Linked DNA regions of Arabidopsis thaliana. The protein of the gene in region 1 interacts with the protein of each later gene in a biochemical or structural test. Each region holds a gene or a part of one and is shown in the gene's direction. Other genes may lie near its edges.

What was found.
Region 2: the proteins of AIR9 (region 1) and ZWI form a complex in vitro, tested with the Arabidopsis thaliana proteins (one study listed by BioGRID).

What each region holds. Positions count from the first base shown.
Region 1 is NC_003071.7:14,626,158-14,630,865, reverse strand, and holds the start of AIR9 (Outer arm dynein light chain 1 protein), read left to right. Parts: upstream 1-1,682; 5' UTR 1,683-2,056; coding exon 2,057-2,219; intron 2,220-2,548; coding exon 2,549-3,378; intron 3,379-3,476; coding exon 3,477-3,548; intron 3,549-3,828; coding exon 3,829-3,894; intron 3,895-3,984; coding exon 3,985-4,056; intron 4,057-4,140; coding exon 4,141-4,206; intron 4,207-4,338; coding exon 4,339-4,401; intron 4,402-4,491; coding exon 4,492-4,557; intron 4,558-4,708. Other genes in the region: ACD11 (Glycolipid transfer protein (GLTP) family protein), read right to left, coding at 1-28, 250-441. UniProt on the Arabidopsis thaliana protein: Microtubule-associated protein that may be involved in the maturation of cell plates and proper insertion of cross-walls after cytokinesis.
Region 2 is NC_003076.8:26,370,424-26,378,411, reverse strand, and holds the start of ZWI (kinesin-like calmodulin-binding protein (ZWICHEL)), read left to right. Parts: upstream 1-1,964; 5' UTR 1,965-2,017; coding exon 2,018-2,157; intron 2,158-2,247; coding exon 2,248-2,476; intron 2,477-2,552; coding exon 2,553-3,119; intron 3,120-3,204; coding exon 3,205-3,304; intron 3,305-3,387; coding exon 3,388-3,569; intron 3,570-3,646; coding exon 3,647-3,762; intron 3,763-3,874; coding exon 3,875-3,977; intron 3,978-4,097; coding exon 4,098-4,250; intron 4,251-4,360; coding exon 4,361-4,507; intron 4,508-4,592; coding exon 4,593-4,793; intron 4,794-5,055; coding exon 5,056-5,220; intron 5,221-5,299; coding exon 5,300-5,404; intron 5,405-5,503; coding exon 5,504-5,641; intron 5,642-5,726; coding exon 5,727-5,921; intron 5,922-6,045; coding exon 6,046-6,172; intron 6,173-6,252; coding exon 6,253-6,455; intron 6,456-6,540; coding exon 6,541-6,723; intron 6,724-6,793; coding exon 6,794-6,889; intron 6,890-6,975; coding exon 6,976-7,173; intron 7,174-7,493; and 3 more. Other genes in the region: CHY1 (beta-hydroxyisobutyryl-CoA hydrolase 1), read left to right, coding at 1-2, 82-166, 249-334, 476-597, 832-892, 990-1,088, 1,155-1,256, 1,333-1,374 and 1 more. UniProt on the Arabidopsis thaliana protein: Minus-end microtubule-dependent motor protein involved in the regulation of cell division and trichome morphogenesis through microtubules bundling. Possesses basal and microtubule-stimulated ATPase activities.

The sequences.
Region 1 (4,708 bases):
AACTCGACGCCCTCACAAGATCATCAACCTATAGTCACATTCACAAGTTTTAACATTTCATTTTCCAAAACATTCATCCTCCAGATAAACAAACACAACATCCATTTCCATCAAATTAGCAAAATTCAGTCTGAGTACTACAGAAACTAAATCAATTCCAACATCTCACAATATACTCAATAGTACATGAAAGTGAACACAACTAGAAAAAGATTCGGACTTTGATTCAAATCTACTACATAAACAAACCTTGGCAACATAGTCCATTTCCGCAAACTTAAAAGCTATTCCAAGGCAACCAAAGAGAGGCGAGACCAGAGAGCAAGCGTGAGAGAATTGCGTTACAGGAACTTCCGGATTCGGTGAATTCACGATGATTGCTAGTTTTTTGAAAGCGGCTGAGATTTTTCTCAGTGGCTTATCTGCTTCCGAATCCGCCATGGAAGATCTCTCTCCTTCTCTCTCTCTGTCGTCTTCTCCTGATTAACAAGTTTTGTTCTTGTGTGATTATTCCGATTGGTGTTCTGTGATTTGCCGCGGAATCTACTTTGCTGCAAGACGACTCAAAAAGGCGGCGATTCGCTGATCACTAATTGTCTTTGTTTGGCGTTCAGATCATTCCTATCCTTCATCTGGATAGTATTATCCTCACCGTGTGAATGAATAACCGAATCCAACCGAAATAACCTGTAGGAATACCGAAATAATAGAATTGAATCCGAACCAAATTCGGTTTTGTGCAATTGAACCGAAGAAACATAAATACGTATGCTTAAACTATAGATAGTAGTTGGGCAATAGACTTGTGTTGAAGCTACTTGAAGAAAAGATGATGATGATGATGAATTATGAATAATGTTCAAGAATTAAGATATGAAGCTTTCATTGGGATACTTTAGTTAAAAAGATTATCATCATCAACAAATGTGATTTTTTTCAAACTTTCATTTATGTTCCACTCTGGCTATACATATTTTTGTTTTTCGATTCTTTTCATTGATTAAAACAAGGTACCAAAATTATAGGTAGGGGATAATAATATTTAGTGGGTTATACTAATAATTATTGGGTAGAAGGAATGGCGGATGCAATTATTTTGATTACTTATAAAAGATAGTGACATTAATTGATTCTTAGGTGGAGCTTATTTTAAAATTAATTGAAGATTTTTATGAGTAATAATTTAGGATAAGTAGAACACAAAAAATTTAAATTTTTTTAAAAAGGAATCTGTTTTCTTGACTTTTTGAGCACATCATTTTATCGTTGGTTAAATAAATAAAAACAATTTCATCAGTTTTCGAAAAACGTCCACTTGCCATTTAACTCTGCCTTTACGGTTTCCGCCAATTTAAAATTCTCTAAATTTTCAAACTTTTCTCTCTCACCATCAAATTCTCTAATTTATTCTCTTTTTATAATGTTCCTCTCTTTTCTTCTGGATAATTACTTTTCATTATAGTCCCTATACTACTATAATTATCCACAACTGTCTCATACTTTTATAACCGTTTTATCATTTTCACCGGGTAAACTTAGAAACAAAATTGAGTTTCCGACATCGCATGATAATTTTAAATGTAAGGTACTTGCATGGAACTTTAAAAAATAAGAGGGTGAAAAACATAAATTAAAGTATAATATAGGGGTGTATATTTTGGGTTAAACATATTACACAACACACTCTTCCGCTACACACTGTTTACACTGTTCCTTACTTTTTTTTCTTTTTCTTTCGCCAACATCTCTCTCTCCAGCTATTTTCCCTCAATTTTTAATCGTCGTTTTCACTTTTGTTCGATTCCATTCAAAAAAGCTTCAATCAGTGAGCTGCGTTTTTTATTCTCTGCTTCATCCAGATCTACATTTCTCTGTTTCAGCCTCTATTGCTCTGTTTAACAAGTTCTCAACGGCCGGAATCGTCGCCGGGATTCTCGCCACCGGAGTTATTGTGAAACGGTGAAAATGGGTTTTTGATTTTACTGGTTACTTCATTGTTCAGTGCAGTAAGTATTTATTTTCCTTGTCCTGTCTTACTATTGGTTTATTTCCTTAAATGAAGAAACTTTATTTTCCCCGAATTTCTTCATTGCTAAAAACTCTCACTTTCTGCAATTTCGTCTGCTTGTTTCACTCACAAGAATTTCACATTTTTTTCAAAAATAAACACTGCTTAATGCGGATTGGTTGTTCACAAAAGGACCAAAAAATCGTAGAAGGTAACCGACAGTGTTAGCTGAAAGAAGCCAGAAACTCTGTTTGTCTGTGTTCTTGAATTTAGACAATCTACTAAAGTCCGTACTTTTTTTATTAGTAAATCCTGTTATGACCGGACCCAATAAAGTAGAGTAATTGTTACATGCGCGTTCCATTCCAAACAATGTGCGTGGGCCACTTGGTCATTTGATTCTGTATTTTTACTTCGGAGAAATTTGGATACAACAAATAAAGTAGAGAGATTGTGTATAATGAATAAAGTTTCCTTTTTTTTGTTAATGATTTGATCATGCGTCTCTTCTGATTTGAGTTTCTTTTGTATCTGCATAAGTTTGGATTGATTTCACTATGGAGGAAGTAGCAGCTAAGGTTGAGGAAGAAACTGTGGAAACCAATGTAGATGCAGTGAAAGAGGACAATGCAACTATAGCTAATGAAAGCAGAAGCCCAGAGAGTGTTTCTGCAGTGTCTGTGGTGTCAAATCGAGCTGCTTCTACTAAAAAGAAACCAGTTATTAGTTCGAATTTAATAAAGCCAACTGCGTCTTCTTCATTACGGGTCTCGGGTACTACGCCTGTGACTATCAGGAGAAATAGTACTGGAGGAGTAACAGAGAATTTAGCTGGTACCTCTAAGGTTCTGCCTAAGCAAGTGAGTACTACTGCCTCACGTACTGATCCGGTAAGACGATCACTTCCAGAATTGAGGAAGAGCTCTGTGTCTTCTCTTTCTGCTAAGACTGTATCCAAACCAAGCCTTTCCGAGAGTAAAAAGTCTGTCCCCGTATCACCAGGTAGTCGGAGTTTGACAAAGTCAACTGGGTTTAGTTTAAGTAAGCCTGAGTCTTCTGCTAGACCAGCCATGAGTGTTTCTGTGTCTTCGAAAAGAGCTCCATCTTCATCAGTTGACAGTAGTGGCAGCAGGACTAGTAGTGGAAGACTACACTCTACTCTCACAAGTGGGAGGACAGTTTCTAAAGTTTCTTCTCCCTCTGCGGGATCATCACCTTCTGTTTCTAGCAGTATAAGATCAAAGTCATTTTCGTCACCTCTAGACCGGACTTCCAACTTCTCTGGACGGAAGAAAACATCTACCCCTGAAAGCCGTGATTCACGACTCATTATTCTTCCAAAGGTGGAGGTTAAAGCTGGCGATGACATGGTACAAATTCACTTTCTCTTTGTACTTGCTAGATTTTCATACAATAGGTTCAATCCTTTCTGTGGTTGTTGATTAATGGATGTCTGTAATTGCTTAAGAGATTGGATCTTAGAGGCCACAGGATTCGCAGTCTAACCTCTGGTGGCTTACACTTATCACCAAACTTAGAGGTAAACTTATATTTCCATAGTAACTTCACAGTGTTCTAGTGCAATGCTTTGTGACAATGATGTTTATGTACATATATGCCAATTGTGGATTTGAATAGAAGTAGGGAGGATTAGTTATTTACATCTCACGAGGAAAAACTTTGAATCTTCTTAGTGAGTTCCTGCTGCTAGTTTTAAAAATCTCCGAACGACAAATACAATCTTTTGGACACTAAATATGCCGCCTCATTTATGCGAGTATTCAACTTATTTTAATTTCCTCTACTTCTACTCTTTCCAGTTTGTCTATCTTAGAGACAATCTCCTATCTACGCTGGAAGGTATTGAGATATTGAATCGAGTCAAGGTCAGTAAATTCATTTTCCTGGGGTTCTTGGTTTTTAATAGATATATATGCTCACACTAGCTATGATTCTGTTACTATCATTAATCTCAGGTTCTGGATTTGAGTTTTAATGATTTCAAAGGGCCTGGATTTGAACCACTTGAGAATTGCAAAATGCTGCAGGTTTCTTTCTCTCCCATTCTATCCTTGGTTCTTCCTTCATGAGTGCTATCTGATGAACATTTAAATCTTATATTACTTGGGCAGCAACTTTATCTTGCTGGAAATCAGATAACTTCACTTGCTAGTCTGCCTCAACTTCCAAACTTAGAGGTGAGCATCAGAAATTACAAAGCCTCTTGTTCCAATTTTGTGCCAAATAATTGCTATCAAGTCTTCATACTTACATACTTGTGGATTGCCCCTTACTTTTTCCAACTATCACCTTTCTTGTTCCCATGGTAGTTTCTCTCGGTTGCTCAAAATAAATTAAAGTCACTTGCAATGGCAAGCCAGCCCCGGCTTCAGGTAGATTTTCTGTTTCAGAATTGAGGTTGTTTTCAGTACCTTGTTACAAGTCATAGTTTTTTAGAGATCTTATAAATTTTTTTTTCTCAGGTACTAGCAGCAAGTAAGAACAAGATAACAACTCTGAAGGACTTTCCGTATCTACCAGTTCTTGAGGTTTCAATCTTTATGTTCCCAATTTTTATTTTTTTCACACATTTCTTATTTGGCTGATTGGTTGTCGCATGCACTGCTTTAATAAAACATCTTATGGGACATGAGATTACCTAGTATAAAAGATTGAAAAACCACCACTTATGGGAAATTC
Region 2 (7,988 bases), on another chromosome or scaffold:
CGGTAATCTTTCCTTAAACATGTCCATGGATGACAAATAGGTCGCTCCAAAATATGCTCATATCTTTCGACTTTCTCCAAGGTTTTTGCCATGCCTGAGACAGCTCTGGGGCTCTTTCCAGATGTAGGCGCCTCCTACTTCTTGTCAAGGCTCCCTGGTTTTTTTGGTAACAGAAGCTATATTTCCTTTTTTTGCATCTTCTTAAAGCCACCAAAGTTTGAAAATGCTTTCTTGTCTTTTTTGTTCAGGGGAGTATGTTGGCCTCACAGGAGCTAGATTAGATGGTGCTGAAATGCTTGCTTGTGGCCTTGCAACTCATTTTGTGCCTTCAACGGTATGAACTTCCTTTGCGTGCGTCTATTTCGTAAGACATTCTGAATTGACTTTACACATCAGATATTGTATAGCTACTAGTGTCAAGCACTATCTGCTTCACCAAGGATTGCTACTTAGTTAGGTTTACTCCTTTCCACAGAGGTTGACTGCATTAGAAGCAGATCTTTGCAGAATTAATTCAAATGATCCAACTTTTGCCTCAACAATTCTCGATGCATACACCCAGCATCCGCGCCTGAAACAGCAGAGTGCTTACCGCAGGCAAGTCTATATGATTTTTATCTCTTTTACTCTTTCTACTAGTATGGTTTTACCTGATTACATTTTCTCGGTTATTGACCATGATTATAACACATTTTTTCTATAATTTCAATTTCGTATTGCTGTCAGGTTTTCAATCGCTCTTTACAGAACTCATTTCTCATCTGATCTTTAATTGAAAATTTATAAAAGTGCAGAGGACAGTTATTTTTTATCTCCCCGTTTGTTGCGCAGGTTAGATGTTATTGATAGGTGTTTCTCAAGGAGAACAGTCGAAGAAATTATATCTGCACTTGTAAGCTTTTCATTTATATATAGAGATGTTGACTTGCGATCCTGAGTTGACTGATTTACCTTTGACAACGCACTCTACCATCATATGTGTTGCTTAGGAGAGAGAGGCCACTCAAGAAGCAGATGGTTGGATCTCAGCTACCATTCAAGCATTGAAGAAGGGTTCACCAGCAAGCCTTAAAATCTCTCTTAGATCGGTTAGTTCCCAGAATGTGCATCACAGGCAATGTTGACAAAGAGCTGACTGTGAGTATATATTTCAGATAAGGGAAGGGCGATTGCAGGGGGTGGGGCAGTGTCTTATCCGCGAGTATAGAATGGTGTGTCATGTGATGAAGGGAGAAATCAGCAAAGATTTTGTGGAGGTTTTGCAAGCTTTTTCCATCTGAAACCGTCTTTGTTGTAGACCGTAGTTACAACAGCGTGTCTTTACTTATGCAGGGGTGCAGAGCCATATTGGTAGACAAAGATAAGAACCCAAAGGTTTAACAAGTCTCTCCATTTGTTATTTGTGGTTGGTAATATGTGACATTGTTGATAACAATATCTGAAATTATAGTGGGAGCCAAGGCGACTGGAGGACATGAAGGATAGCATGGTGGAGCAGTACTTCGAGAGAGTGGAACGGGAGGATGATCTAAAGCTTCCGCCAAGGAATAACTTGCCTGCTTTAGGGATCGCAAAGCTGTGAAGTGGAGAAGGTGATGGAGCACTATTGTTTACGTCTGTGGGAAAGAAAAAAGAAAATAAATGTAACAACACTTGTGTTGAATAGGACTTGCATACATTACATAAATCATTATTGTATTTGAGAATTGACACCAAAGCAGCAGAGCAGAATTGTGTTAAGATTTGTTAATGGTGTTGGAGGCACAACCATGGCAAACGGACGTGGAAGCACGTCTATAGTCATTGTTCATTTATTTGATTGAGATTCCTCCTTGGTCTCATCTTCTGAAAACGAAAAATAATTAGAAAATCAGGTGAATCGTGAAGTATTGAATGAGAAGAGGCAATTAAAAATCTCCCGTGACTCTCGTCTCCCCATCTCTCTCTCTCCCTCTGCCCAAATTTCTGGGGCAAATTTGTTCATCAGATCTACTACAATCTCTCTTTTTCTTCGGGTATGGAGGGCCAACGAGGCAGTAATTCTTCGTTGAGCTCTGGCAATGGCACCGAAGTCGCCACCGACGTTTCTTCTTGCTTCTATGTTCCCAATCCCTCTGGAACCGATTTCGATGCCGAGTCGTCTTCTCTTCCTCCTCTGTAAGTCTTCTTTGAATTTTTAAAAACATTCACTCTCTTGCTGCTGTCTCTGTTGATCCTTCTTCTTTGAAAATTTGAAAACATTCTTAGTCTCTCGCTCTGTCACAGCTCCCCAGCTCCTCAAGTGGCATTGTCAATTCCTGCGGAGCTTGCCGCCGCCATTCCCCTCATCGATCGCTTCCAGGTTGAAGCTTTTCTGCGGCTAATGCAGAAACAAATCCAGTCTGCTGGGAAGCGTGGCTTCTTCTATTCCAAAAAGTCCTCTGGCTCCAATGTCCGCGAGCGCTTCACATTTGAGGATATGCTTTGCTTTCAAAAGGTTTTTCTTTCCCCCCCTTTCTTCCCCATTGACAATCCATTGACTGAATATGTCTCTCTCCCCTTCCTTCCTTCAGGATCCAATCCCCACATCTCTCCTCAAGATTAACAGCGATCTCGTCAGCCGTGCTACCAAGTTGTTTCATCTCATCTTAAAATATATGGGTGTTGATTCATCTGATCGATCTACGCCTCCCAGTTTAGATGAACGCATTGACCTCGTTGGAAAGCTCTTCAAAAAAACTTTGAAGCGTGTTGAACTCAGGGACGAACTTTTTGCCCAAATCTCCAAACAGACTAGACATAATCCTGACAGGCAATACTTGATCAAAGCTTGGGAATTGATGTACTTATGTGCCTCCTCTATGCCTCCTAGCAAAGATATCGGTGGATATCTATCTGAGTATATTCATAATGTCGCACACGATGCAACTATTGAACCGGATGCTCAGGTTCTTGCTGTTAACACTTTGAAAGCTTTAAAGCGCTCTATCAAAGCTGGTCCTAGGCACACCACACCTGGTCGTGAAGAAATTGAAGCCCTTTTGACCGGTAGAAAGCTCACAACCATTGTCTTCTTTCTCGATGAAACTTTTGAAGAAATTTCATATGACATGGCTACCACAGTGTCTGATGCTGTTGAGGTATCTTCTTGCTTTCTTTTTTCATAATTTACCGCTGATCATATTCTTGTCCCTTTTTCTCTCACTGCATTGACATCTGTTTCAGGAGCTAGCTGGAACAATTAAACTATCAGCTTTCTCTAGCTTTAGTTTGTTTGAATGTCGTAAAGTTGTTTCAAGTTCTAAATCATCTGATCCCGGAAATGGTATGCTTTCATATGACTGGCTTCGTCATATATTGTGAAGTAATACAACATTATCGATCATTTTTCTATCTGTGCACTTGCAGAGGAATATATAGGATTGGATGATAACAAGTATATTGGAGATCTCCTCGCAGAATTTAAAGCTATTAAAGATCGAAATAAAGGAGAGATACTACACTGCAAACTGGTATTTAAAAAAAAATTATTCCGAGAGTCTGATGAAGCTGTAACAGATCTGATGTTTGTGCAACTTTCGTATGTTCAAGTGAGCATTTTCTTCATTGGTGACATTTATTTCCACACAAAAGGCTTGCCTTTCGTTGCTGACACACATATATGCAGCTGCAACATGACTATTTGCTAGGAAACTATCCTGTTGGGAGGGACGATGCTGCACAGCTTTGTGCCTTGCAAATTCTTGTTGGGATTGGGTTTGTCAATAGTCCAGAGTCATGCATGTTAGTTTTCTTAAGCTCCGCCATTGACTTTATTTTAGTTGTCCGATACTTTATTTTTCCAATTTTCCTCCCTTAACAATATCATTTCCTTTCTCAATGTATCACATATCAGTGATTGGACATCACTTCTTGAGCGGTTTTTGCCAAGACAAATAGCAATAACCCGAGCAAAGCGTGAATGGGAATTGGATATCCTTGCTCGCTACCGTTCAATGGTAGGAATAGTTCTATGCATTTTGATTGTCTTCCCCTTTCTAGATACCTTTGGCAAATAAAAACCCATTGAAGTGATGGCATGGTAAAATGATATTTCGTATGTGTATGTGGGCATGTAGGAGAACGTGACCAAAGATGATGCAAGACAACAATTTCTACGGATACTGAAGGCACTGCCATACGGGAATTCAGTTTTTTTTAGCGTACGCAAGATAGATGATCCGATCGGTCTTTTACCTGGGCGAATCATTTTGGGTATCAACAAACGTGGGGTTAGTCTCAATATAAATGTTATACATTATGACTTTAAAAAAACTGTTATTGTTGTTTGGAATTCAAATCTATGTTGTTGGATTTGAATTTGTTGTTTGCTTTCTTGTAGGTTCACTTTTTTCGACCGGTTCCTAAAGAATATCTGCACTCTGCTGAACTACGTGACATCATGCAATTTGGCAGCAGTAACACTGCTGTCTTTTTCAAAATGAGAGTCGCTGGTGTTCTTCACATATTTCAGTTCGAGACAAAACAGGTTTAAACATCACTATTTGTGGATCATTATATTATGAAGCAATTCCTTATGAGATATTCAATTTGGGTAACTTGTATGTTTGTAGGGAGAAGAAATTTGTGTTGCTTTGCAAACACATATAAATGATGTCATGTTGCGTCGTTACTCCAAAGCTCGATCTGCTGCCAATAGCTTGGTTAATGGAGATATATCTTGTAGTTCTAAGCCGCAAAATTTTGAAGTGTATGAAAAACGTTTGCAAGATTTGTCTAAGGCTTATGAAGAGTCCCAAAAGAAGATTGAGAAGGTACACATTCTAACAAATTTCTTATTTATTCTTCAATGTAAAATTGAATATAATAGAGGGAGGCTGATCTTTGTTTAAATACATGAAATAACTTATTGTAGTTGGATTTTTTCATGGTTTTTATGCTTGGTAGTCTTGAGATATTTCAGTATATATCACCCTCCTATCTTATGTTATTGTATGTAGAATGTTATACCATGACCTCTTTTGTTTTAGAGTGGCATGCTGATGAACTATTCGTATGTTTTATGTTGTTGTATAGTTGATGGATGAACAACAAGAGAAAAATCAGCAAGAAGTTACTCTGCGTGAAGAGTTAGAAGCTATACACAATGGTTTGGAGCTTGAAAGGAGAAAATTGTTGGAGGTTACTTTAGACCGAGATAAACTTAGGTCATTGTGTGACGAGAAGGGAACAACTATTCAAGTTAGTTATAACCTAACTTTTGTCTTTCTTTTGATGCTTGGTTGAAGTTATTTAATGATTTATTCTATATATGCTATAGTCCTTGATGTCTGAACTGCGAGGAATGGAAGCAAGGTTGGCAAAGTCGGGCAACACAAAATCAAGTAAAGAGACAAAATCAGAATTAGCCGAAATGAATAATCAGGTGAATATTATGTGTTTAAATCTAATTCATTGTAATCATTGAGTTGTTGTTTTTTGTTTCCAATTCTGCTTTCCTTTGACAATGAATTTTAAGTCACAGATATTATACAAGATCCAAAAGGAGTTAGAAGTTCGAAATAAGGAATTGCATGTCGCAGTTGATAATTCAAAGAGGTTGTTGAGTGAAAACAAGATATTGGAGCAAAATCTCAATATTGAAAAGAAGAAAAAAGAGGAGGTGAATTCTATGTATTAGATTTATTGAAGATTTCAAATTGAGAAGTATCAAATACTTGCGTATTGTTGACATCTCATTATTTCAGGTTGAAATTCATCAAAAGAGATATGAACAAGAAAAAAAGGTGTTAAAGCTTCGAGTTTCTGAACTTGAAAATAAGCTTGAAGTACTTGCTCAAGACTTGGATAGTGCTGAGTCTACGATTGAAAGTAAGAATTCTGACATGCTGCTGTTGCAAAATAACTTGAAAGAACTTGAGGAGTTAAGAGAAATGAAAGAGGTAATGGTACTCTTTTGTCTTCTTCATTATTTAATTTTGTTTCTGTTTGAATGATGATAATGTATTTTCGCGATTCAAAATTGAAGTAGAGGGATGTGTTTACATTCCAATTTCATTTTCTTAGGACATTGACAGAAAAAATGAGCAAACAGCTGCCATTTTGAAAATGCAAGGAGCCCAACTTGCTGAGCTAGAAATACTTTATAAGGAAGAACAAGTTTTAAGGAAAAGATACTATAATACCATAGAAGGTAACATAATGCTCAAGTATGTACAATGATGTTCATTGCTTTTAAAAAAGAATTTTACTAACATTTTTATTTGATTGTAGATATGAAAGGGAAGATTAGAGTTTATTGTCGAATAAGACCTCTAAATGAAAAAGAGAGTTCAGAGAGGGAAAAACAAATGCTGACAACTGTGGATGAGTTTACTGTTGAACATCCATGGAAAGACGACAAAAGAAAGCAACACATATATGATCGCGTATTTGACATGCGTGCTAGTCAAGATGATATCTTTGAAGACACAAAGGTATTATTGATATGTAACTGTGTTCATTTACCTTTCATCCTTTGTTATTTTCTTGTGGTTACTAACATCGTTTTCCTTTTAACAGTATTTGGTACAGTCGGCTGTAGATGGGTATAACGTTTGCATCTTTGCATATGGTCAAACTGGTTCTGGAAAAACTTTCACTATATATGGGCATGAGAGCAATCCTGGACTCACACCTCGAGCTACAAAGGAACTGTTCAACATATTAAAGCGAGATAGCAAGAGATTTTCATTTTCTCTAAAGGTAATTTGTTATCCTAATAGATGATGTGATAAAAGATTATGACATCAACTGACTACAAAAAGTTATGCAGGCATATATGGTGGAACTTTATCAAGACACACTTGTAGACCTTTTGTTACCAAAAAGTGCAAGACGCTTGAAACTAGAGATTAAAAAAGATTCAAAGGTATTGTGAGATATATCTATTTTAACTAGGTTATAACTAGATTGTAGACACGTAAGTTTGATCTTATGCATAAAATATTTTCTCAGGGAATGGTCTTTGTAGAGAATGTGACAACTATTCCTATATCAACTTTGGAGGAACTGCGAATGATTCTTGAACGGGGATCGGAACGACGACATGTTTCTGGAACAAATATGAATGAAGAAAGCTCAAGATCTCACCTCATATTATCAGTTGTTATTGAAAGTATTGATCTTCAAACCCAGTCTGCTGCGAGGGGCAAGGTGACAAAATTCACTATGTTTTTCTTTATTGACTCATTATCATTTTTCACAGGATTTAGTAGCATTTAGGGATTTTAAGGAAATAGGAGTTTCTTTAGATTTTCATGCTTAGTCTACCGAAGAAAAATATAGTAACATTAATCTTGTTTAAGAGAGATATTATTTTACAGCTCAAATCTTTGGTCTGGTACAAAATGTTAAACCTTTATGTACACAATCCATATTATTAGTCAATGATATGCCCTCCATTGTTAAACCCATATCACCTGATCATGGTGGTATCTTCTACAATATTCTGAATTTTTGTTTGTTATTTGCAGCTGAGTTTTGTGGATCTTGCTGGTTCTGAGAGAGTTAAAAAGTCGGGCTCAGCTGGTTGTCAACTCAAAGAAGCTCAAAGTATCAACAAATCACTTTCTGCATTAGGTGATGTTATTGGTGCTTTATCTTCTGGCAACCAGCATATTCCTTATAGGAATCACAAGCTAACGATGTTGATGAGCGATTCATTGGGCGGCAATGCCAAGACGTTAATGTTTGTTAATGTGTCTCCAGCCGAATCAAATTTGGACGAGACGTACAATTCTCTTCTGTAAGTCATGAGTTCCCATATATATATAACATAAATCAAATATGCTTAGTGTAAAAATGGATAATCCATATTGTTTTTTTTCCTCCTTTGATTCCAGATATGCATCGAGAGTGAGAACGATCGTGAATGATCCCAGCAAACATATATCATCCAAAGAGATGGTGCGATTGAAGAAGTTGGTAGCATACTGGAAAGAGCAAGCCGGTAAAAAAGGTGAGGAAGA